Lonchura striata: one gene and its partners. The protein of the gene in region 2 interacts with the protein of the main gene of each other region in a pairwise test. Links are inferred from orthologs where the notes say so. Each region holds a gene or a part of one and is shown on either strand. Other genes may lie near its edges.

The links.
Region 1: the proteins of LRP2 (region 2) and MAPK8IP2 interact in a two-hybrid assay, tested with the Homo sapiens proteins (2 studies listed by BioGRID). The link is inferred for Lonchura striata from reciprocal best matches to the Homo sapiens genes LRP2 and MAPK8IP2.
Region 3: the proteins of LRP2 (region 2) and MAPK8IP1 interact in a two-hybrid assay, tested with the Homo sapiens proteins (2 studies listed by BioGRID). The link is inferred for Lonchura striata from reciprocal best matches to the Homo sapiens genes LRP2 and MAPK8IP1.

What each region holds. Positions count from the first base shown.
Region 1 is NC_134607.1:72,594,124-72,601,756, reverse strand, and holds the start of MAPK8IP2 (C-Jun-amino-terminal kinase-interacting protein 2), read left to right. Parts: upstream 1-4,629; 5' UTR 4,630-4,708; coding exon 4,709-4,773; intron 4,774-7,633. UniProt on the Homo sapiens protein: The JNK-interacting protein (JIP) group of scaffold proteins selectively mediates JNK signaling by aggregating specific components of the MAPK cascade to form a functional JNK signaling module.
Region 2 is NC_134610.1:19,577,098-19,584,974, reverse strand, and holds the start of LRP2 (low-density lipoprotein receptor-related protein 2), read left to right. Parts: upstream 1-4,869; 5' UTR 4,870-5,042; coding exon 5,043-5,136; intron 5,137-7,877. UniProt on the Homo sapiens protein: Multiligand endocytic receptor. Acts together with CUBN to mediate endocytosis of high-density lipoproteins. Mediates receptor-mediated uptake of polybasic drugs such as aprotinin, aminoglycosides and polymyxin B.
Region 3 is NC_134608.1:38,226,173-38,234,008, forward strand, and holds the start of MAPK8IP1 (C-Jun-amino-terminal kinase-interacting protein 1), read left to right. Parts: upstream 1-4,832; 5' UTR 4,833-4,864; coding exon 4,865-4,947; intron 4,948-7,836. UniProt on the Homo sapiens protein: The JNK-interacting protein (JIP) group of scaffold proteins selectively mediates JNK signaling by aggregating specific components of the MAPK cascade to form a functional JNK signaling module. Required for JNK activation in response to excitotoxic stress.

The sequences.
Region 1 (7,633 bases), on a different chromosome or scaffold from region 2:
CCTTCGCTTCCCAGATTTCCCTGTCCCTCATTCCCGAGGGTTTCCCTTCGCTTCCCAGATTTCCCTGTCCCTCATTCCCGAGGGTTTCCCTTCGCTTCCCAGATTTCCCTGTCCCTCATTCCCGAGGGATTTTCCTTCGCTTCCCAGATTTCCCTGTCCCTCATTCCCGAGGGTTTCCCTTCGCTTCCCAGATTTCCCTGTCCCTCATTCCCGAGGGATTTTCCTTCGCTTCCCAGATTTCCCTGTCCCTCATTCCCGAGGGTTTCCCTTCGCTTCCCAGATTTCCCTGTCCCTCATTCCCGAAGGATTTCCCTTCGCTTCCCAGATTTCCCTGTCCCTCATTCCCGAGGGTTTCCCTTCGCTTCCCAGATTTCCCTGTCCCTCATTCCCGAGGGATTCCCTTCGCTTCCCAGATTTCCCTGTCCCTCATTCCCGAGGGTTTCCCTTCGCTTCCCAGATTTTCCCCGGGCCGTGCCGGGCGCTGGTGGATCTGGGATTTCCCAGCTTTGACTTTTCCTCTTCCAAAGGGAAATTCCCTCAATTTCTGCTGGAATCTTGGCTCTGGGAGCCAAGGTTGGATGGGGAGAGGGGCCGGGATTTGGGGATTTGGGGATTTGGGGATTTGGGAATGAGGAGAGCCCGCGGCTCCGTGGGAAGGACTCGGCTGGAAGTGAGAGGGATGGGGGAAAACTTGGGATAAGGATCGAAGGGATGGATTTCCCTCAGGCTGGATTGTCCCAGCAGGAATTTCTCCCGTTTGTCGGAGCTTCGCCGGGTCCGGGTGGATCCTCGGGATCCGTTCCGGGAGCTGAAGGTTTGGGATCGGCCCAGGGTGGAATTCACGGATCCTGGGAATGGAAACGCTTGGAAAACTTCCTGGGCTGTGCCCGTGGGATCTCCTGGATCCCGGGGATCCTCGGGATGGGCTGGGAGGTCCATTCCCCACCAGGATTGGGGAATTGTGGGATCCTTGCCCATGGAATGCCGGCGGTGCCTCGGGAAGGGCCCCGAGCCCCCCCGGGCTGGGCAGGGGCTGCCGGGATCCGTGCAGGGAGAGCCCGGGAAAAGTGGGATCTGCCCCGGGAAAAGTGGGATCTGCCCTGGGAAAAGTGGGATCTGCCCCAGGAAAAGTGGGATCTGCCCCGGGAAAAGTGGGATCTGCCCCGGGAAAAGTGGGATCTGCCCCGGGAAAAGTGGGATCCGCCCCGGGAAAAGTGGGATCTGCCCCGGGAAAAGTGGGATCTGCCCCGGGAAAAGTGGGATCTGCCCTGGGAAAAGTGGGATCCTCCCCGGGAAAAGTGGGATCTGCCCCAGGAAAAGTGGGATCTGCCCCGGGAAAAGTGGGATCCGCCCTGGGAAAAGTGGGATCTGCTCCAGGGAAAAGTGGGATCTGCCCCGGGATCGGGGCGGCTCTGCCGGCATCGGGGCAGGATCGGGAATGTCCTCCTGGCTCTGCCCAGCTCCTGCCAGGAGCCAGCGGGGATCGGGATCTGCTCCAGGGAATGAGCCCCGGGAAAAGAGGGAGCGGCCTCAGCCCGGCCAGGGCAGGCTGGGATTGGAGATTTGGGATCATTTTCCATGGAAAAGGGGCCAGGCCCTGGCAGGGGCTGCCCAGGGAGCTTTGGAATGCCCATCCCTGGAGGTGCCCGAGGAATTCCCGGAATTCCACTCAGGGCTGGGATCGGGCCCAGCTGGGACTCGGTGCCCTTGGAATTTTTTCCAGCCTCAATAATCTGGGAATTCAGTGCTCACACCCCCATGAGAATTCCCAGCACATCCTGGTTATCCAGGGAATGAGCCCTGGGAGAAGAGGGAGCGGCCTCAGCCTGGATCAGTGGGGAGATTTGGGATCATTTTCCATGGAAAAGGGGCCAGAGGAATCCCGGAGCTTCCCGAGTGGGATCCCAAAGGAGCATCGGGCCCAGTTTGGGATTCCCATCCTTGGGAATCCTTTGCAGTCCCTTACAGCCGCTGTTCCCGCTGGCAGTTTGGGAATCCCGGGCTTGGGAGGATCCTGCTGGGTTTTTGGGGAATGTTTTCCCCATGGAATGTGGCTCAACCACCCCGGGGGGAAGCTCCTGGAACCCCAAATCCCCGCCGGGGCAGGGCCGCGTCCCAAAACCCCAAAGGAACGGAGATGGGAGCGGGAATGTTGGGGTGGAAGCTGGGAATGGGACACGGAGGGGACTGGGGGACACGGAGGGGATTGGGGACACAGGGGACACTGAGGGGATTGGGGGACACAGGGGACACGGAGGGGATTGGGGGACACTGAGGGGATTGGGGGACACAGGGGACACGGAGGGGATTGGGAGGGAATTGGGGACACTGAGGGGATTTGGGGACACAGGGGGGACACTGAGGGAATTGGGGACACTGAGGGAATTGGGGGACACGGAGGGGATTGGGGACACAGGGGGACACGGAAGGAATTGGGGACACTGAGGGAATTGGGGGATACTGAGAGAATTGGGGGACACAGGGGGACACGGAAGGAATTGGGGACACTGAGGGAATTGGGGGACACGGAGGGAACTGGGGACATGGGGACACTGAGGGGATTGGGGACACTGAGGGAATTGGGGGACACAGGGGACACTGAGGGGATTGGGGGACACGGAGGGAACTGGGAACACGGGGACACTGAGGGGATTGGGGACACTGAGGGAATTGGGGGACACAGGGGACACTGAGGGGATTGGGAGGGAATTGGGAACACTGAGGGAATTGGGGGACACAGGGGGACACTGAGGGAATTTGGGACACAGGGAATTGGGGGACACAGAGGGGACAGTGAGGGAATTGGGGGACATGGAGGGACACTGAGGGAATTGGGGGACACGGGGACACGGAGGGAATTTGGGACACGGAGGGAATTGGGGGATACTGAGAGAATTGGGGGACACAGGGGGACACGGAGGGAATTGGGGGACACAGGGGGACACGGAAGGAGTTGGGGAAACAGGGAATTGGGGCACATGGAGGGACACTGAGGGAATTGGGGGACACGGAGGGAATTGGGGGACACAGGGGGACACGGAGGGAACTGGGGACACTGAGGGGATTGGGGACACTGTGGGGATTGGGTGACACAGGGGGGACACGGAGGGAACTGGGGACACTGAGGGGATTGGGGGACACTGAAGGACACGGAGGGAACTGGGGGACACGGAGGCACCCCACGTTCACGGGTGGCAGTGCGGGGGTCCCTCTGCCCGCCCCCCAAACCGGGGCCGTCCCTGGGGTCCCCCCGCACGTCCCCGCGGCCTCAGCGGCGGCCGCTGCCCGGTGCCGGCGCCCGGTGCGCAGCACCGCGGACAGCTCCGGTCCCGGTCCGCCCGCGGCCCCGCAGAGCCGCGAGCACCGTGCCGAGCCCCAGCACCCTATGGACTGCCCCAGCACCCTATGGACTGCCCCAGCACCCTATGGACTGCCCCAGCACCCTATGGACTGCCCCAGCACCCTATGGACTGCCCCAGCACCCTATGGACTGCCCCGAGCACCCTGCAGAGCCCCAGCACCCTATGGACTGCCCTGAGCACCCTATGGACTGCCCTGAGCACCGTGCCGAGCCCCAGCACCCTATGGACTGCCCCGAGCACCGTGCCGAGCCCCAGCACCCTATGGACTGCCCCGAGCACCCTGCCGAGCCCCAGCACCCTATGGACTGCCCCGAGCACCCTATGGACTGCCCCGAGCACCCTGCCGAGCCCCAGCACCCTATGGACTGCCCTGAGCACCCTGCCGAGCCCCAGCACCCTATGGACTGCCCCGAGCACCGTGCAGAGCCCCAGCACCCTATGGACTGCCCCGAGCACCCTGCAGAGCCCCAGCACCCTATGGACTGCCCTGAGCACCGTGCAGAGCCCCAGCACCCTATGGACTGCCCCGAGCACCCTATGGACTGCCCCGAGCACCCTGCAGAGCCCCAGCACCCTATGGACTGCCCTGAGCACCCTGCAGAGCCCCAGCACCCTATAGACTGCCCTGAACCCCTAAAGACCCCCTTACAGAGCCCTGAGCACCCTACAGACCCCCAGCACCCTATAGACTGCCCTGCCCCCCTACAGAACCCTTCCCTTCCCTTCCCTTCCCTTCCCTTCCCTTCCCTTCCCTTCCCTTCCCTTCCCTTCCCTTCCCTTCCCTTCCCTTCCCTTCCCTTCCCTTCCCTTCCCTTCCCTTCCCTTCCCTTCCCTTCCCTTCCCTTCCCTTCCCTTCCCAGGACCCCTCCCCATTCCCATACCCCCCCAATCCCATCCCACACCCCCAGATCCCCCCAGGACCGCCCCTCATCCCATCCCACCCCAATCCCATCCCATCGATCCCACCCCAATCCCATCCCATCGATCCCACCCCATCCCATCCCCCCCTCCCCTCCCTCTCCCTCCCTCCCTCCCGCCGCCCCCGCCCCTCCCGGCTCCTCCCTCTCCCCGTTTTTCCCGCAGCTCCTCCCGCCCCTCTCCCCGTTTTTCCCGCAGCTCCTCCTCCCTCTCCCCGCTCGTTTCCCGCAGCTCCTCCTCCCTCTCCCCGCTCGTTTCCCGCAGCTCCTCCTCCCTCTCCCCGCGGCTCCCGCAGCTCCTCCTCCGTCTCCCCCGTGCCCCCATCCCGCGGCTGCCCCCGCCCCTCTCCCCGCCGCTCCCGCAGCTCCTCCCGCCGCTCCCCCCCGCTCCCGCAGCTCCGCAGTCCGGCGCAGCCCCGGCCGGAGAAAATGGCGGATCGCGCCGAGATGTTCTCGCTCTCCACCTTCCACTCGCTCTCCCCGCCCGGCTGCCGGTGAGCGGGGGATGCGCGGGGTGGGATGCGCGGGCTGCGATGCGCGGGCTGCGATGCGGGGTCGCGCTGCCCTTCCCCTCCCGCTGTCCCGCCCTTGCACCGGGCCCGCACCCCGGTACCCCCCCCCGCCCCTTCGTTCACCTTGGGATGCGGGACCGGGCGGGCTCCCGCCGTCCCCCGCCCCGCCGCGGCCCTTCCCGGGATTAACGGCGCAGCCGCCGCCATCCGGCCCCCGGAGCGGGCGGGGGGCGCGGGGTCCCCTCCGTCCCCTTCCCCTCGCCGCGGCGGGGAGCCCCCCCGGCCTCCGCCTGCCCCCGGGGCCGCCGCATCCCGGGGCCGCTGCGGGAGGAGCCGCCGCCGCCTCTTTGTCTCTCCCGAGGCGCCGCAGCGGCCCCGGGATGGGGACGGGAATTGGGGGGGGGGCGCCGGTCCCGGGAGTGGGTGGGGGGCGGCGGCGGCTCAGCACCCCTCGAGGCTCGGCGCGGCCGGGGGGATGCCGGGGGGTTCCCGCAGCCGGAGCCCCGGGATCGGTCACCTTCCCGCAGGGCCGCCGGGGGTCCCGCGGGGAGGGGACGGGGCTGGGCCCGCCCCGCGGCTGACCTTGGGGGGGTGCGGGGGTGCGGGGTCGGGGTGCGGGTCGCGGTGCGGGCCGCGGGCCGGGCTGGCGCACTGCGGGGCCCGCACGGCCGGCAGGGCAATGGGAAGGGCGGGAGGCGGCGGCGAGGGGCGCCCGGAGGGCCCCGGGGCTGCGGGAGCTGCGGAGAGAGGAGCGGGGGACGGCGAGGCTGCGGGACGTGCCCTTGGGTGGCTGTGGCCTGTGCTGGCCAGGGCTCCCCTCCTCTGGGCTGTCCCCGTCGCCAGGATGTCCCCTCCTCTGAGCATCTCGGATGTCCCCTCCTCTGAGCATCTCCATCTCCGGGATGTCCCCCCTCCCTGAGCATCCCCGTCCCCGGGATGTCGCTGTCCCCGGGATGTCCCCCTACCCTGAGCATCCCCCTCCCCAGGATGTCGCTTTCCCCGGGATGTCGCTGTCCCCGGGATGTCCCCTCCTCTGAGCATCTCGGATGTCCCCTCCTCTGAGCATCTCCATCTCCGGGATGTCCCCCTACCCTGAGCATCCCCGTCCCCGGGATGTCGCTGTCCCCGGGATGTCGCTGTCCCCGGGATGTCCCCCTACCCTGAGCATCCCCGTCCCCGGGATGTCGCTGTCCCCGGGATGTCGCTGTCCCCGGGGTGTCCCTGCCCGCGGTGGCGCAGGGAGGGGACACCACGGCCTCGCTGGGGCTGCTCGGCCCCGGGCCGGGCCGTGGGGCAGCCGGGCCCAGCCCGGGCAGCGGGAGCTGCGTCCGGAGCCATCCCAAAAGCCGGGGCCCATCCCTGGGGCAGCCGTGGCCGCGCTCGGGGCTCCCCGGTGGTGCCGAGATCCAGCCGGGAATGGTGGCGGAGGCCCCGAACCCGGCTCTGCCTTTCCCAGGGAGCCGCGGGGAGGGGGTGCCCAGCCCGGATGGGGCGGCCGCTGGGGTGGGACCCCCTGGCCGGGAGAGGGAGGCCGGAACGGGTGGGAATGCCCCTCCGATCTGGGAATGTCCCCTCGATCTGGGAATGTTCGATTGGGAATGCCCCTCCGATCTGGGAATGTCCCCTCGATCTGGGAATGTCCCCTCGATCTGGGGATGTTCGATCTGGGAATGCCCCCTCGATCTGGGAATGTCCCCTCGATCTGGGAATATTCGATCTGGGAATGTCCCCTCGATCTGGGACTGTTCGATCTAGGAATGTCCCCTCGATCTGGGAATGTTCGAGGTGGGAATGTTCGAGGTGGGAATTCCAGGCGCACCCGCAGCCGGGCCTTGGGATGGCTCCAGCCCCAGGTGCCAGGCAGGAGCCCCCGGTCCCCAATTTGGGGTGACCACAGGGTCAGAGTCAGCTCCGGGAGCAGCTGGGCACGGGGCGGGCGGGGGTCTCTTCCCGGCCGTTCTGGGGGTCCCTTCCCGGCCTCTCTGGGGATCCCTTCCAGGCTGTTCTGGGGGTCCCTTCCCGGCCGCTCTGGGGGTCCCTTCCCGGCTGTTCTGGGGGTCCCTTCCCGGCCGTTCTGGGGATCCCTTCCTGGCCGTTCTGGGGATCCCTTCCTGGCCGTTCTGGGGGTCCCTTCCTGGCCGTTCTGGGGATCCCTTCCTGGCCGTTCTGGGGATCCCTTCCAGGCCGTTCTGGGGATCCCTTCCTGGCCGTTCTGGGGGTCCCTTCCTGGCCGTTCTGGGGGTCCCTTCCCGGCTGCTCTGGGGGTCCCTTCCCGGCCACTCTGGGGGTCCCTTCCCGGCCGCTCTGGGGGTCCCTTCCAGGCTGTTCTGGGGGTCCCTTCCCGGCCGTTCTTGGGGTCCCTTCCCAGCCGTTCTGGGGATCCCTTCCCGGCCGTTCTGGGGGTCCCTTCCAGGCTGTTCTGGGGGTCCCTTCCCAGCCGTTCTGGGGATCCCTTCCCGGCCTCTGGGGGTCCCTTCCCGGCCTCTCTGGGGGTCCCTTCCAGGCTGTTCTGGGGGTCCCTTACTATCCGTTCTGGGGGTCCCTTCCCGGCCGTTCTGGGGGTCCCTTCCCATCCGTTCTGGGGATCCCTTCCCGGCCGCTCTGGGGGTCCCTTCCTGGCCGTTCTGGGGGTCCCTTCCTGGCCGCTCTGGGGGTCCCCTCCCGGCCACTCTGGGGTCCCCTCCCAGCCGTTCTGGGGGTCCCTTCCTGGCCGTTCTGGGGTCCCCTCCCGGCGCTCCGAGCCACCGGAGCTGGCAGGGATGAGGAAATTCCCTCGGCCCCGGCAGCGCTGGCACCGCCGCTGGCCCCTGCCCGGCCCTCCCGGCCCCTGCCCGCCCCTGGG
Region 2 (7,877 bases):
TCATCCTAGCTGTTGGAGGAATGAGACCTAACTGTTTTTAGTATGAGTCTCAATTACAAAGATGTTTATCCTGAACAGACCTCACACCTGTTATTAATAGGAAAGTAAAACAATTAAAAGAGTAAAGGAGATTCAGAGTTATTCCAGCCTATCCTCTTTTCCTTGTGAATTCCCTATAAAGATTTTAGATAAGTAATTTGTAAATGCTTCTTTACCTCCCATTCCTTTTCAAGTACAAATCCCATTTGTTGCTTCCTTGCAGGGCAGAATGGCACTGAAGGGCCAGTGAATTGGAGCAAAAATAAGGACCTTTGTTCTTTAGAAACAGAAAGTTCCAAAGAAATCTATTTGTAGTAAGGTAAGTACCATGATCTTTGGTAGTTAGAGATGTAGCTGAGGTAAAGCATACTTGCCCTTACTTTGTGACCGTGTCTCCAGGATGGGGAACAGGGACTTCCAGGGTGGACCAGACAGTTCTGACCAAAGGACAACTGTAATCTGTTTAATCTTTCTCCACTTTCTTCTGCCTTCCAGGTGAATAAAAAAACCTCTGTCATCTCTACATGGTTACTGTTAAACTCCAACACAGGCCTATTTCTGCAGATGAAATATACCTGGGGTGTTTCAGAAGCTCCTTTACTGACTGTGTTTCTACTAGTCTCACTTGTTCAGTGGCAGTTACCAAAAAAGTTCCCATGTTCTTGCTTCTTGTTCCAGGATGCAGTAATATAATGCCAGGTTGAAAGAGAGAAGTTATAATATGTCACTAACCAGAAGACCTCGAGGAAACTTTTGACCACAGTGCTAGCTGCATTGTGCAATTCTGACTCTGATTTCTGTTCTGGACCAATTCACCTCTCCTCAGCTTAATGTTTCTCACTTTCATGTGGTCTGGAGATGCACTTTTGATCTAGTCTTCTGGAAATCTGTGCTTTAGTTACCAATATGCATTAGATGTTTGGGTATTATATCAACTAAGGCTCTCTTTTTCTTAGTTTGAGATTAGGTGGATTTTTTTTTTTTTTTTTGTCTTTAAATCCTTGGAAGAAAATACTTTCCTGGCAAACAATTTCCATTGTTTTAGATACTGTGAAATGTGATGTGGCTTATATGAGAAACTTGGTGAACTTGGGGCCATTGTCTGTTTGGGTTTTTTTGTGTGTTGTAAAGTTGAAATTAATACTGGTTCTTTGCATAAGATGCATGTTCCCTAAAACATGATTTAAGGAAACATCTGCTCACAACACATGTATTTGAAAAAAATAAATGGTGAAGTGCAAATACACATTGCTACTGTGGATCCCCATGAAAACAGCTTAATCTGCTTTCCCTGAAGTCTGTCTTTGATGCAAACTGAAGAGGGCCTTAGGTGAATGAAATGTCTCAAAAATAGTATCTCTGAAGAGCCCATCCTGCCTTTAATAGTCTGTTAAGAAAGCAAGACTCTAACACACTCAAACACACACACATTGTTGCTTGCTATAAAACTAAGGTTCAGTTAAAGAAACTGGACACTTTAGATTGTAGAATAGCAAAGGTGGATGAAATTTGAAGAGTTAATTGCTGCTGTTTGGTACTTATGTTATTGCCCAGGCAGAGAGACTGTCTTTAGTTTAGATTTGTAGGATTTGTCATTACCAGTGTTCTCCCAAAAAAATGAGCATGGCTTTAGTATATTTAAAATGTAGCCTTGCTTTAGCATGATTGCGCAAAAATAACAAAACAAAACAAAAAAAAACCTTGTAATGATAAAGGCATAGGATTTAATGATTAAACTTTAAATGTGAATTGGAAACATAGCTTGTAACTTAAAATGTTTTCTGTGTGGAAGCACCTGGGTTTATCTGAGGACAGATTGACCACAAGATTACTGAATGCCAATGGCAATTACAGCCTTATTGGATAATGCACTGGACAGATCCTTAGCCTCTGTAAACTGCCCTAGCTCCAAGAAGTTCAGAAGAGACAAATTTACAGATCTGATCCACATTTTCCTATAGTGAAAGTATATATGTTTTTTACTTTCCTTAACCATCAGCTCTCTATCTTTATCTAGTCATATATCAACCCTGATGTTTCTGTCTGTGAAGAACTGCACGAGTTTGGACACTAATTTAGACTGAACTTTGGTCAAAAATGAAGCCTTTTAATTTTTAACTTCCTTGCTTAGCAGATATCTTTAATAAGTAAGCAGTGTCGTTGTTAGTTCTAAATTACACCTTTAACTGCTTTTCTGAGTGCTTGCTTACACTAAAAACCAGGCAAGCAAAAACATCCCAAACTGTATTTTAAATCAAAAGTAGAGCCCAATGAACAACTGCATTGCCTATGTTTTCTCCTTCTAACCTTCGAACAGACCTAGTCTCCATCTTCTTGAACATGCATAATCAACTGAAAATCCGTAGGTGTAGTTCAGTAACAAATCATGAGCTGCCAACAGGAACAGTCAACAGAAAGATGAGAAAAAGAGATGTGTTGCACCTACGTGGGCAATTTTGGGTGTAGTTATGGGAAAGCCTTGAGGAGTTTTTATTCTTGTCTTGATGTATCTAGTCTTGAAGAAGTTCCATTCAATGGTGTCCAGCAAGACAGGGTCCCTTTAGTTGGATGATGAGGTGCCATGGTAAAGTGAGAGGAGAAAATTTTAGTTTAAGTAAATAGAGGTTAGACTTCTCCTGTGCTGGTTCCATTGTTACTATTGTTCAGCAGTAAAATATCTGGGCCTATCAGTTTATATGTCTCTAAATGAAAACTTTGTCTTGTGAGTGCAAAGAATAATGGGTGAGAAGGGCATGACCCACCATCTCAGCTCACTGTCAACATCATCGCCACCATTCCTGTTGGAGACTCCTTCTAGGCTCTCACCTATGGGAAAAACAGATGTGTAGAAATGGTGATGGTGAATGGGGCAGGAACACACCTTCTGGCTGCCAGCTGTGAGGGAGTGAAACAGGTAGGTGCCTCCCAAAGCTTGCATCCAGGTCACTTCAAGCGTACAGTGACATTAGATTACACATACCTCCTGGCCTGGGGATGCAGCTCCCAAGCACTGTTTACCCTCTCTGCCTCTTGCTGGGATGTGAACTGCTTTAAACAATTCCTCTTCTAATGAAGTACGGTCAGTCTGTGTTGGCTTTGCAGGCACCCATCTGTAGAGAACAGATCTGCTTGCTCCTCTCTCTGAGGATCCCTTCGTTCCCGCCCCATCGGCCTTGCTGGGAGATTAAAGTAGCAGCGGCCCCATACACAAACGCAGCTGGTTCCGTTTGGTCAGCCTGAGCCTTGCTGTGAAACCACGACAAGAATTCCAGTAAGTTGGCAACACTGAAACACAAAGAAAACAACAATAGGAAAAGACCTTCCGTGCAGAAAGGAATGTTTCAGGCGCTATTCCCCTACAGAGAAAGGAGAGAGGGTGGGAGGGAGGAGGGAGATTTGAAGAGGGCATGTCTCCCCCTCCCCCGGCAGCTCTGGATCTTGTGATGGAGAGATCTTATCCTCTCTTTGTGATTCAGAGGTGCCAGGAAGCTAATTGAATATTCTGATCTGCCCCCAGTGTTTCTTGTGGCTTGACCCCGGTGCTGTGTCGTACCACCACACCAAACAGCCCTGAACCTGCATAAATCACAACCTTGCAAAAGCCTATGCTCCACATCTTCTCTCCCCACCCCCCTCTTTACTATCTTGATAGATAGAAAGCCTTTACGGAAAGGTTTAGAGGGATTAGCGTCCTACAGGACCTGGAGAGAAATCACAGTCTGCTAATAAGCAGCGACATGTTCCTGTGCAACTTCTGCAGGAACAATACAGGCACCTCTACCTTTTTATTGAACTTGCAATCCATGGCAAAAAGAAGAATTAAGGTTTGAAATATTGCTTAAGTTCTTTTGCAGCATCAGCAAACAGCCCTTGCAGTATAATGAGCATGGCATGATGCTAATGCAAAAGATATGTGGTATCTGTAAAGGTGGTGTCATTAAAATTAATCTGACAGAACCTCTTGGAAGACAAATAGAGCTATCCTTCTCTCATGATATGTATGCACAGTAGTCACTGTTGACGTGCATGTGCATATGTGTACATATATGAAGAAAGTATAGCTTGGCATAACTAAATTTCCAACATGAAAGACTGTTTTTGACTACTAAAAAATTATTTAACTCCACGCATTTTATATATGATGCTTCTGATCCTGCAAGCAAAGCCTCTAAAAAGTTTGTTCTTTTTACCAAGGCTGCATTCCAGCCTGAAGTTAATCTTTATCTTCTCCCTGTGATCCTACACACTACTCTTCCCTTGTTAGTGTATATGGTTCCTGAAATGGCAGCAGTAAAACACAGGGAGATATTTCTTTGTGTATTGCACACACTGTTGGAGAGTTAAAACTAAAGGAGCATATCTCTAGTTGGTATCTTGAGAATTCACAGCTAAAGCACTTTACCAAACTGATTTTATCTGCTAAGAAAGTGCAAAAGTAAATTTCATCCCCACAGTTTTCCTTTCATAGTGTTTGTTGTGAGCACTACTAATTTCTAAGCTTTTCCTCTGTCTGCATCAGTGAGTAGATGCTAGATTTTTTTTCAGAGTTATCAAAAATACTTTTTCTTATTTGGGACACTAAAACCTATGACATTCATTACTTGCCACCCGCAGTTCCCAGAACTACTCAAAATAGATGAGCACATTAAATACAGCACCAATGGACTCTGATACGAAGTGAGCAAAGTGCAGGGTCTTGGAAGCATCTTGGCTATCCTGCAAAGTGTGGAAGGAGGGGCAGAGGGAGCCTGTGGCCGCAGGGCCTGGAGCACTGCCTGATTCCCTCATGCTGGTTCCGGGGCCGCCGGGTATAAAGAGCTTTATGCAATGTCTGGAGGGTGGGAGTTTATAGAAAACGCGATGTCTCAACAGGCGAACACGCCTTTCTTCTGCAACTAGCAGGACAAGAAAAAGATACCAGGCTCCTTGTGCTGGTGCTGTGCAGATCAGCACCCCGGAGTCCAGAAGCCAGCTTCTGAGAAAGCTGGAGCATCCCAACCCAGATGGGACCTCACCATCGGATGGATGGAAGAGCAACAACTGCTTGCAAACTGCTCATATTATTCACTGCATGCCTGATGCAGGGCAGTTGCCAAGGTAAGTGCTATGCTCCAGCCTCTCCGGAATAGAAATTGCACCGTAAGGAGCATATCCCTACTCTGGGGACTTTTATAAGAGAAAGATAAGGTGACTGAAAGTAGAGGGTTAACAGGCACTGATTCAAGGAGTTCTTTCTAATAGTTAGGGGAGACAGTTGGCTCTTTCCAGGAGTCATTTGATGGAGTCGGTTTCTGTTGTGGAAAAGTAAGTAGCGCCTTAAAAGCACTGCAAACATCACCGATTCTTCAGCTTAACTTCATCTTGATTTCAGATTATCGTAGGATGCTTCCTTTGATTGTTTTTCTAGTTTGTAGAAACTTTTTTTTTCCCTAGTTGTGTGTGTAAGCAACAGACAAATGTGGCTAATTTTTGATGGACATCTCAGACTTTGCAATTCCACGGTCTAAACGCATGGTTTTATGGAAATGCCAACAGGCAGGTTTTTCTGCGAGTCCTGATTACTGGCTGTGAATAAGGCCAAAAAAACCCCAAAAACAAGCAAACAAAAACACCCCAAAAACCAAACCACCCCCACAAAAAACCAAACAAATAAAAAACAAAAAAAAAAACACCAAAAAACCCCAAAAACAAAACAAAAAAACCCCAACCACCCCAGACTTTTTGCGTTTTTTCCTTGTGGTATTTGTGCCTTTCTTGCTACTGAAATACGGGTGATTTTACAGAGCAGAGTTCACCTGCATTCCACGAGCTGGTTTGGTAACCACTAAAATTGTACCTAGAGTTGTTTTTGTTGAGGAGTGCACAGCACTTGCACGTAGACAGGTTGGGTCGGGGGGCAGGGGGTTATGCATGGACATGCTTGCGTACGTGTGGTATATGCAGTCATTTACAGAAAGCTATAAGAAAGAAACAGATGCTTAGTCTGGAGCACAATAAGCTCCCCTCAGTCGGTCTCAGACGCAGATTTGAAGTTGAGAGAGGGAGAACTTTTTCTCTGGGCTTTACTGTTGCTAGGCGACATGGAGGAGCATGTGACTGGCAGAGCAGGCTGAGTGCCGCTCCTCCAGTGCTAATCTGGCTGCTGGGGATGGAGCAGCCGTGTGCCCAAGTCCTCCCTCCGGCCTCTGCAGCCGATATCCCTGCCTCCCCTTCTTCAGCTGTTTATTTGCCTTGCACTGAAAATCAAGCCTGTCGTGTTGGAGCACGAGTGGCTAAAGTGCATTTTTCCTCCGCCCCGCCTATTGACCTGCAGTTCTGCTGCTTCTGTGTGTGTCTGCATATTACGTGTGTGTTCAAATGGTTAATCTGCTTTCTTTGCTCAACTCTTAGTTTAAGCTCCTTAGACAGAATCAACTAAGTAATTATACAGCAACTGCTGTTAGCAGCTCCCACTTATGAACAAGGAAATAAGAGATAGCTAATGTGCTGGAGACCTGCAAAAACTCCAGCCAAGGAGGTCACACTGGGCAGAATTAATCCTATGCACTATTATTTTACATTGGGTAGAATGGAACTTGCAGTACAGATAAAATTTTTTTGTTGTTGTTCTGTAACTGCTTCTGATTGTCCAGAACATATCTGATAAAAGACATGACAGAACAAGCAGAGATAGGCTTTGAACTAGCATCCATAGTAGTATCCATACAGATTTTTTTTTTTTTTACTTTTATGATGTTCCTTCTGCTCTTTCTCCCAATCTCCCCTCCCCCCTGCCTCCACAGTAGAATAACTGTGGAAATCAAACACTATAATTTTAGTAATGGGTGACTGATACTAGGAAAATACCTGGATAGCAGGTATTTTGCCTGCACTTTGATTATGGCAGTGGAATATTTGTTAACCATAAATTACAGTTCCTTGAATGCTAAGATCATGTCAGACTCTTATTTCAAAAAGAAAATTTGAAGAACCATGAAAGCAATCCCAAGCCTTTGAAGGAAAATGGTGAAAATCTCTTATTTTGCCTTATCCTCAGTATTTCCAAAGGCACTTCACTGATGTTTTTTGAGATTTTTTTTTTTGGCAATTTTTGAGTGTTCCCAATATAAGATGGATGTTTCTAGAAGAATTTCACCTACACAATTCACCTTGTTCAATTGGTAGTACTCTTTTGCGATTTACCTAATTCTGGTTCTACTGAGAGTAACTGTAGTGCTCATAAACAGAATAAAAAAGTTTTGTAATTGCCAGCAGTACAGGGTCTGTTTCTCCTGCCTTTATAGGTCTTGTTGTCTGTGGGGTAATTGTTGTCAGAAAAAAGTGTAGCTGGAACCTAAAAAGTAGTTAAGTGAAGGCAGTGTCAAGCAGGAGCATTGTGGGACTATTGCTTATGTTTGTTTTGGGGAATATCAAAGTGCTTCACACTCAGCCATAAACTACAGACAATGGATGGATGTTAGTGCACCAAATTTGATTTGTATCCTGCACCTCTGCAATGATAAATTATCAGCTTGATACGTCCCAGGCAAATATGGCTAAAATTTTTTTACCATTATGAGGTCTCTATTAATCTGAGAATGAAGACTATTCTAAGAATGAATGCATATGGTGTGATAAGATATATAATCACAATGAACATTTGCATGAAGTGTGGCAGGCCATTAAGAAATAGGTATGGTAAGACCAAGTAGAGAAGAGTTACAGCAGTTCTTTCTGGAAGTCATGGAGAAACATGTTTTCCATAAGGCATTGTAATAGTTCAATCTCCAAATCAATAATTCAGTGTTTTTTAGATATTGTTTTCATTCAAAATTATTTAATTTTTCTGTAGGATGATG
Region 3 (7,836 bases), on a different chromosome or scaffold from region 2:
AATGATCTCAATAGTATTTTTCAACCTAGTTGATTCTGTCACTCTGAGAAGGAGGAATTGTTCAGAGAATAAGATCATGCCTTGATATGAGCAAAGCAGTATCTCAGAATAGATGTGATCCAAGTAATAAGGAAGCTACACCTGGGCCCAGCACTCTACAGCATTTCCTTCCCTGAATGAGAGCTCCCAAATGGAGCCTGTGTCTGGTGTGTAGCCTGTGCAGTGCCTCATACTGATAGAGGATGTATTACACATCAGCTCCTTGAAGTGAGTCTTCCTTGAATTCAGAGTCTAGTGTCCATTCTGTTCATTCTTTTCTGTATTGGCATCTGTGTGTTGAATTTCCACACGGTAAACTCCTGTACCTGCCCACTGCTCCTCCTTGCCGTTTGCATTCACACTGGTGCTTTGTAGCCTAGCGAGGTGATTGTGTAGCTTTCCTGGCTCTTAACCATACACTCCTTGCTGGGTCCTGTTACTTGTCAGGTCAGCACAGTGCTGGCAGAGTGCCTCTGCCTGCCACCAGAGAGTGCAAGGGAGGGTGGTACTGCAGGAGATTCTCTCTTGAGGCTGTTTACAAGAGGAATCAGATTGAGTAGCTCATCCCGTGCAATGGGCTGCTGTTGGCACTGTTTTCATTTGCTGTCCAAAACCTTTCATCCCTGCCTGACACAGATAGTGTGGGGCTATATGTGAGCTTATGCAACTAACTGCTTGGGGAGTACAGGAGTTGTCTCCCACTGGGATAATCAGATTCAGTTTTGGAGCCTGTGTTTGAACCCAGAGCAACAGGGTTGCAAGTAGAAACTGAGTCAAATGTACCTGAGAAACCTGAAGTGGTTGAATTGAGTCTGTGAATAAATTTAATGAATAGCTGAAGAACCTTTCCTTCCCATTCCCTGGGGCTTTGATCTTACGTTCTTTTTCTGCAGAGAATCCACTGGGCAGACTGAACAAGTAAACAAAGAGTCACTTTTCTTAACCTTACTTTATTCTAAACTATTTGTAGTTTGCCTGGTGGATAACCCAGTTATCAACAGGTCTTGTCTCTAACCCAGCTGTTACTCCCATTGTCTTGGGGGTAGAAGGGTATAAAGAAAAAGAGATACTCCCCTACCCCCATCTTCTGCTGCAGAAAGAAGAAAGGGGAAAGATGTGCACTTTGTCTAGGTTACAGAAATTGTGACTTCTGTCATTTTGAGAGTTTCATGCTTAGGCAATGGTCTGTAAATAAAACTTTTTATAAATGTCTTTAACCCTCTTTTTGCTGTCATCCAAATTATTTCATTTGGTAAATGGAATTTTTGGGGCTGGATCTGTGGGGGTAAAGAGTCAAAGGGAGGGGAGGCCACATCTCCTCAGTGATCTAGAAGGCTTTGTGGAGGCAAGGGAGATCACATTTGCAAGGTTTCTGTCAATACCTGGGATATGGATGGTAGTATATGGAAGAGCTGCAGCTCAGGTAGTAGCACTGGGAATGACACGCATCAGACCAGTTAAAGATAACGGAAAAGCTTCTTTCAAGAAACCTTGTAAATAGGCTGGGATTCATCTACTTTGGCATCTTTTCCCAGCTGAAATAATACAGGTGGGTAAAACTGTGTGACAAGCAGGGAATGACTGTTCATTGTTTTCATTGATACTTAGAATTTGGCATGCTTGGTTAAAGTACAAGATGGCAGATTGAACAAGTCTGTGCCTTGCTTAGCTTTGTGACACATTTTTCCTCAGTTGTGGGTGCTAACAGTTTGAGTTCAAAAAGATTTGGCCAGTTTGTGGGGAAAGAAAAAGCCATCAGTAACCATTAGACCATCTTTGTTTCAGAAGCAGCAGGGGACTGCTGGAGGCTGTTGTAAAGAAATAGCATGAAATGGACACCAGTTTAGGGGTTTCTGTTCTCTGTGTCTCAGGGCAAGCTGGCAATGCCTGACCTGACATAGGCACCCCTAACACGGGTGTAGTGTGAGCTCTTTGCTTGGGCAGAGGGAGCAGTTGCCTTTTGATGCTCTGAGAGCAGTGGCTTTGGGATGCTCCCCACGGTGGTGTGAAGGCTGCTTTCAACTAAACATGGATACTGGAGCAGAGAAGTCCCACGGAGCTGTGAACAGTTGTTCAGCTTGGGTCTCCCGTCAGTGATGGAGCCTTGGCTAATGACTTCTAAGCTAAGTAATGAACTTGTATTAAATACACTAGACTTAGCAATCTAATTAGCAAGGACAGAGTCAAGTTCTTGTGCATCCTGCCATCCTCCTTGGTGCTTCTGTGTCGATGCACTTGCTGGAACCTCTACCTTAGCAAGAGTTCCATGACGTACATTAATTTTCTTAGTAACCAGCAAGACTTAGGAAGTGCATGTAGCCATGCAGTTCCTTGTGAAGGTTCAGCAGTGGGGCTTATCTAGGAAGGAAGTGCCTCAGCTCATGGTATTGCTAAATTGTTCTCTTGTTTCTGGCAAGGATCTTCTGGTCTTGGAAAAATAAAACTTCAGTGCTTGGGGTGGCTCACACATGGCAAAAACCTTCTGAAAACATCAGCATATGCCTTAAAAGATGATGAACCAGAATGACAGTAAACTCAGTCCAGCTTTTTCTAGCCAGAGTGGAATAATGTAAATTAAAGCTGAAGAGATTGGGTTTGAGGCTCCTCGTCTGTGCTGGCCATGATACCTGTTTTACCTGTCACAGGAATGATGGTGATGTGGCTCAGGATTGGAAATGGCTAACCTTGGATTTTTAGCAGAACTGCCTGCTCCATGTGCTGGTGCTTGAGAAAATTCCCTTCTTCCATGTCTCTTCTGTCTGCACAAGGAAGGAGCTGGAGTGGCTTCAAGTGGGGCTGGCTGAAAGGTCTGATAATAGAAAACACACCTAGATATGAAGAAGTGGAGCTGGAAATGTGGCCATTTGAGGCAGAGGGGGAAAGAACAGTAAGAAGGATGGCTGATGGAAAAAGAGGAGTCTGGTATCACAGCTGCATCTGGGTGGAGATCAGATGGTTCAGCTGGGGACGAGGAGCAGGAAAACTTCTCTGAGCACATAACCTCTCCTCAGGTTTCCTTTAAGGCTGAGTTGGTCTGGACTGAACCTGATGGTCAATTGGACAATTTGAAGGAGGAAAATCAGCAAATGCCTTGTGGGCAGATACTGCTGGGATGGAAGTGCTATCTCCTAATTTGCAGCAGATGTGCATGCACTCTCCCAGGGGCCGTGTGCACGACTGTGCATCCGAGGAATAGGCCTGACTGACAGTAGTGCAGGTAGGAAGGTCCATTTGGGTCTCCTGCCAGGCCAGCCTGAGTCAGGGATGGTGACCTGACTACAGGTCACGTCACTAAGGGGTGAGTTTTTGGTGCTTGGCAATCAAGCAGAAGGTGAGCTGCAGTGATGGTGATCTGGCTGTGGGACAAGGCAGCATCCTTACCTTATGCCCCAGGTCAGAGGCCAAATAACAGCCATGCTGCTGAGATCAGTTCTGGTAGATGGGGTTTATGCTTTGAGATGGAGCTACATCAAAGCTCCCCCAAAGCTCCTGGAACGAATGCTGGTGAGTCTCTTGGGTCCTGCATGTAATACAGTTCAGTCTGTGTATCCAAACAGCAAAGGGGACACTTAGATCGCCCTCAGGAGGCTGCCCCAGGGTTACCTGCACATGGTGACCCCGGGGGTGTGTGCTTGTCTCCACACTAGTCCAGGAATAACATCTCTTTCCAGTTTGTCTGGTAGGAGACTAAGACTCCTGAGAGAGAGCAGGACTTATGCCTTGGAGGGCTCTGCCTGCTTTTCTCTGGAGGAGCAGCTGACATCCTGGGTCTTGGCCAAGAACTAATACATCACCTCAATGGCAGTCAGCTCTGTGGTGTGAGAAACACTGATGGGACTGGATGTTTGAACTGCTAAAGAAGTGCCACTCATGCCATCCAGGACTCTCAGAGACACAGATTGGCAGCACAGTGGGCATGCAGGGAATAAGGAAAGTTCTCCTGTTCAGGTACAGAAGTAGCCTTGAGATCTAAAAATACTGATGCTGTCCACTTCTGTCCACAGCACAGTTTTCTGAGCTTGCAAAGCATGGGGAGAAGAGCAGGGAAGAGAAACCTGCCCAGGCTGGTAAGGAAGAGTAGCAACAATGAGTACCCACCCAAGATAAAATGCTTCTTGGAACATAGCTAGATACAAAAATGGGTTTGCCCTTTCTAGGAGAGGCCTGAATCCTTAAGATTCATTTTTCCCCCCCTGCTTTGTCCCTGTGGAAGGTATGTGTATGCTGCTTTTTAAATTCCCTTTGCAGTGCTTGCAGCCCTGCTGCAGGGATAGGTCTATACGGGGGCTGCCAGACCTGTTGCCAGGTGCGGCAAATATGCCATGGGTGCCAAAGTGCAGCGTGGTTGCTCCTGCTGCTCCTGCTGCCTGCAGGCGCCTCCCCGCTGCCGAAGAGACCCCTGCAAGTGGCCCCTGTGTCCAGCCCCTCGCCCTGGGCTCCTGCCTGCCCACTCGGCCAGCCGGCCCCGCTCCTGGGGTTGCTCCTCCCAGCCTTGGGAGACCCCCGGCCGTCCCTCGCACCTGCTCTTGAGGGTGCAGCCTCCAGCTGCGGGCACATCTGTCCCGCCGGGGCCGGCGTTCGCCGTGGCCCGGGCGGAGCGGACGGGGTCGGGGTGCGAGGTGACGCCTCCATCTGTGCCGTGCCTGTCCTGCAGCTGCCGCCGGGAGCCGCGGGATGGAGCCTCCGGGCCGCGCCCCCGCTCCCCCCGCCCGGCGGCAGGTATGTCCCTCCCCGCCGGCACCGCCAGCATCCCCCTCCCTTCATCCCTCCTTCCCTGCCTCCCTCCCTCCCGCCCGCCCTCCGCCTGCATGGAGAGAGCCACAGAATGGCGGAGCGAGAGAAAGGAGCTGCATCCCCGCCCGCCTCACCCTTCCTGGGGCTGCACCTCGCCTCGCCCCCCAATTTCAGGTACCGGCCGCCGTCCCCCCGCGGAACCCTCTCGGGGCTGCCCCTGCCCCCTGCCCGGGGCAGCGCTCCCCATCTGCTGCAGCCCCCGCCCGCACGGTCGCGCCGGCCCCCGCCTCCTCCAGCGCTTCTGCCCCCTCGGCGCGCAGCCCCCCGGCCCGGCCATCCCTTCTGCCCCCCGCCCCAGCCACCGCTGAACCCCACCGCAGACATCGCTCCAGCCCCCCATGGCTGCTCAGCCCGCCCACCCAAGCCATGTTGGCCCTCACCCCACACATACACCACTGCAGCTTCCCAGCCCCCTGCTTGCCCTCGTGTCCCCTCGCACCCCATCCCGCCTCCTTACCTGTCTCATCTCCTCTTCCAGCACCTCTTCCTCATGGAAGAAAAAAGCTTCATCTCTCTCCCCTCCCCAAGAAAAGCCTTTTCCCAGCCCTTTCCTAGAAATCCCAGGTGCTTCTGCTTCCTTGCTACCCCTGTGAAACAGGAACCCCAAGTGAGACGGTGGGAGAGTGCCAGAATTGATCCTCTTAGCAATACCAAGTGCTCCCATCGATTTGGGATGCAGGGGGCTGTGTCTCCTCTGAAACCCAATGAGGCTTGTCACAGGGACTTCCGATGGCGTGGGCCAGGCCAGAGATGCCTGTGGGTTTTGGAGCCTCTGGTGCCTGCTAAGGGTAGCTCTGGCACACGGATGTGCTGGGTAGGTAAGGGAGGAGCCCTGCCCCTGCCTGCAGGTGCGGTGTTCACTTGCCATAAGGGGAGGCTCGCTGCTCCTGGCAGCTGTGCCCTCGTCAGCCATTGCTCTCTGCTTGCCTCTGCCACACAGGGGTGCTGGGGGGAGCTGCCTGAAAAAAGGGGAATGGTACCAGCTGCCTTGCGTGCTGAGATTTTGGGTGGAAAGGAGAGGATGGTCCTCACCTGGGACCACAGCTAAGATCATGCCCTCCTCTGTCAGGCCCAGCCCCTGAGGCTGGGGAACCCATGGGTCCCTGAGAGGAAACAGATGGGTGCAGTCGAGCAAAGGTAGTGCTCAGGCAATTAATATTTGAAGGGCTGTGCTTCTGGACCCCCGTTGCTGGTGGCTCCGGGTCTTTGGCAGCTGCCTCCTATTGCAGCGCTGCCTGCGAGAGCTGCTGGGAGCTGTTGCAACATGGCTGGTGTACCCTGCAAAGCCAGCGATTAAACACTGCCTCTGGAATCATCCACCATGGAGAAGGGGCTTGGCCACTGAGCCAGGGGCTGGAGGCTGAGCTGCCGAGCAGCTCTGGGCCTGCCGCCTGCTGTCCTGGAGGTAGCGGCTGTGCCCTCGGCATCCTCCTGCTCCCCAGCAAACAGCCATGCCCTCGGAGGGAGAATGAGCTGCTGCTTCTGGCTGGGCCTCAGATCTTTGGAAAAGGAGCCCCGTGTGCTGCCAGCCTGCTCCAGGGAAGAACTGACCTCGTGAAGGATGCTGTGCAGCTGGGTGGAAAACTGAGGAGTCAAGGCAGGAGTGCAAAATCTTCCCCGGGCACCAAGCTCAGGGTGTAAGTGGAAGTAAATGCAGTGATGTGTCTGAGCCTGGGGCAGGGTATGGCAGATCAGAGGTGATGTTGTGGTGGGGAGTGTCGTGCGAGAAGGGAGCCGTGCTTGTGTTTCAGAAGCTGGGTTATGTGTCACAGCATGGCTTGTGCATGTCCCAGGTCCTGCATCCCTGCTGCAGGGCTCAGCGAGGGGCTGTTCCCCGCGGATGAGCTGGACCCAGCAGCGATGAATGCGGTTCAGAGTGAAGGCTCAGACCATGGCTGGCAGTGAGGTGAGCACTGCCCTCTGCCCCTGCCTGCTGCCTGCAGGATGAGGTGTTTCAGATTTCTGCCCTTTGGTACATGCATCTGCACTCCCAGCTCTGAGTGGTGACATGCCAGTCCAAGCATTAGGTGATCAGTTGGCTTGAATTGAGAGAGGGCTTGGTCCTGGCCAGCAAGCAGACTGAAGCATTGAAGAGACCAGGCATAGTGGCCTGGCAGTGATGGTTTTGTGTTGTCTGAGAAGAAGTGGGAGGAAAAGGATGGTGAGATAATCCCTCCTTTAGCCAGGAGGTCCTCCAGAGGTATCTGTTCATCACAATGAGAATAACACCATTTTAGGAGACAGCAATTACAAAAATCATTCTCATCCATCCTCCCTTAAGCTTCTCAAAGCCTTGCAGTGTGGTCTGTGTTCACTGGAGCTCCGTAACATCTTTCTCTGGGAAACGGTGTTGCAGCTCCTTGCCCTGCTAAGAAGCTTTGGCTGTGCTTTGTGGCAGGCTTTCCTGTGAGGGGCTTTCTGGAGCCTCTCTGGGTTAGGGGTCCCTCTACCCAGCATTAGAGGGACAGGGAGGACTGGCACAACTGGGGTGAAGCTGGATGCAGAGCTCACAGTGTTGCCTGTCCCACTGTCCCCAGGACTGTGGCTTTAATGTAGATGGAACCTGGGAGGGGTCACTGACTGATCCCCTCTTATCTCCTTCAGCTTTCCCTGATAAAAGTAAAGGGCATCCACCTAGCTACTGGGTAGGAGGACACCTAGGGGAAGAAACCCTTGGGGAGTTATTTCCATAGGTCAGGAGAGAGGGAAACTACTCTACTACTCAGGGAGTGCTGTCAGAAATCACAGCCCTTTGGGAAGGGAGGGGCTCTCTGAGAGAAGAAGTTCTCTCCGTCTTGTCGGGAAGTTCAAAGATGCACCTTCGGGCTGAGGCAAAAATCAGTTTAGTTCTGTGGTTTGTTTTATGTGTCTGTCGTGCTCATCTGGAGCTGTCAGCAAAGCCTGTTTGGAGGCAATGAATGAGCTGGGCGTTGGAATGGGGCTCCCTGTCTTCTTCTGAGGGGAGATGGAAGGGTTGTCTTCCTCTGAAGGAGGGAGAGAGGC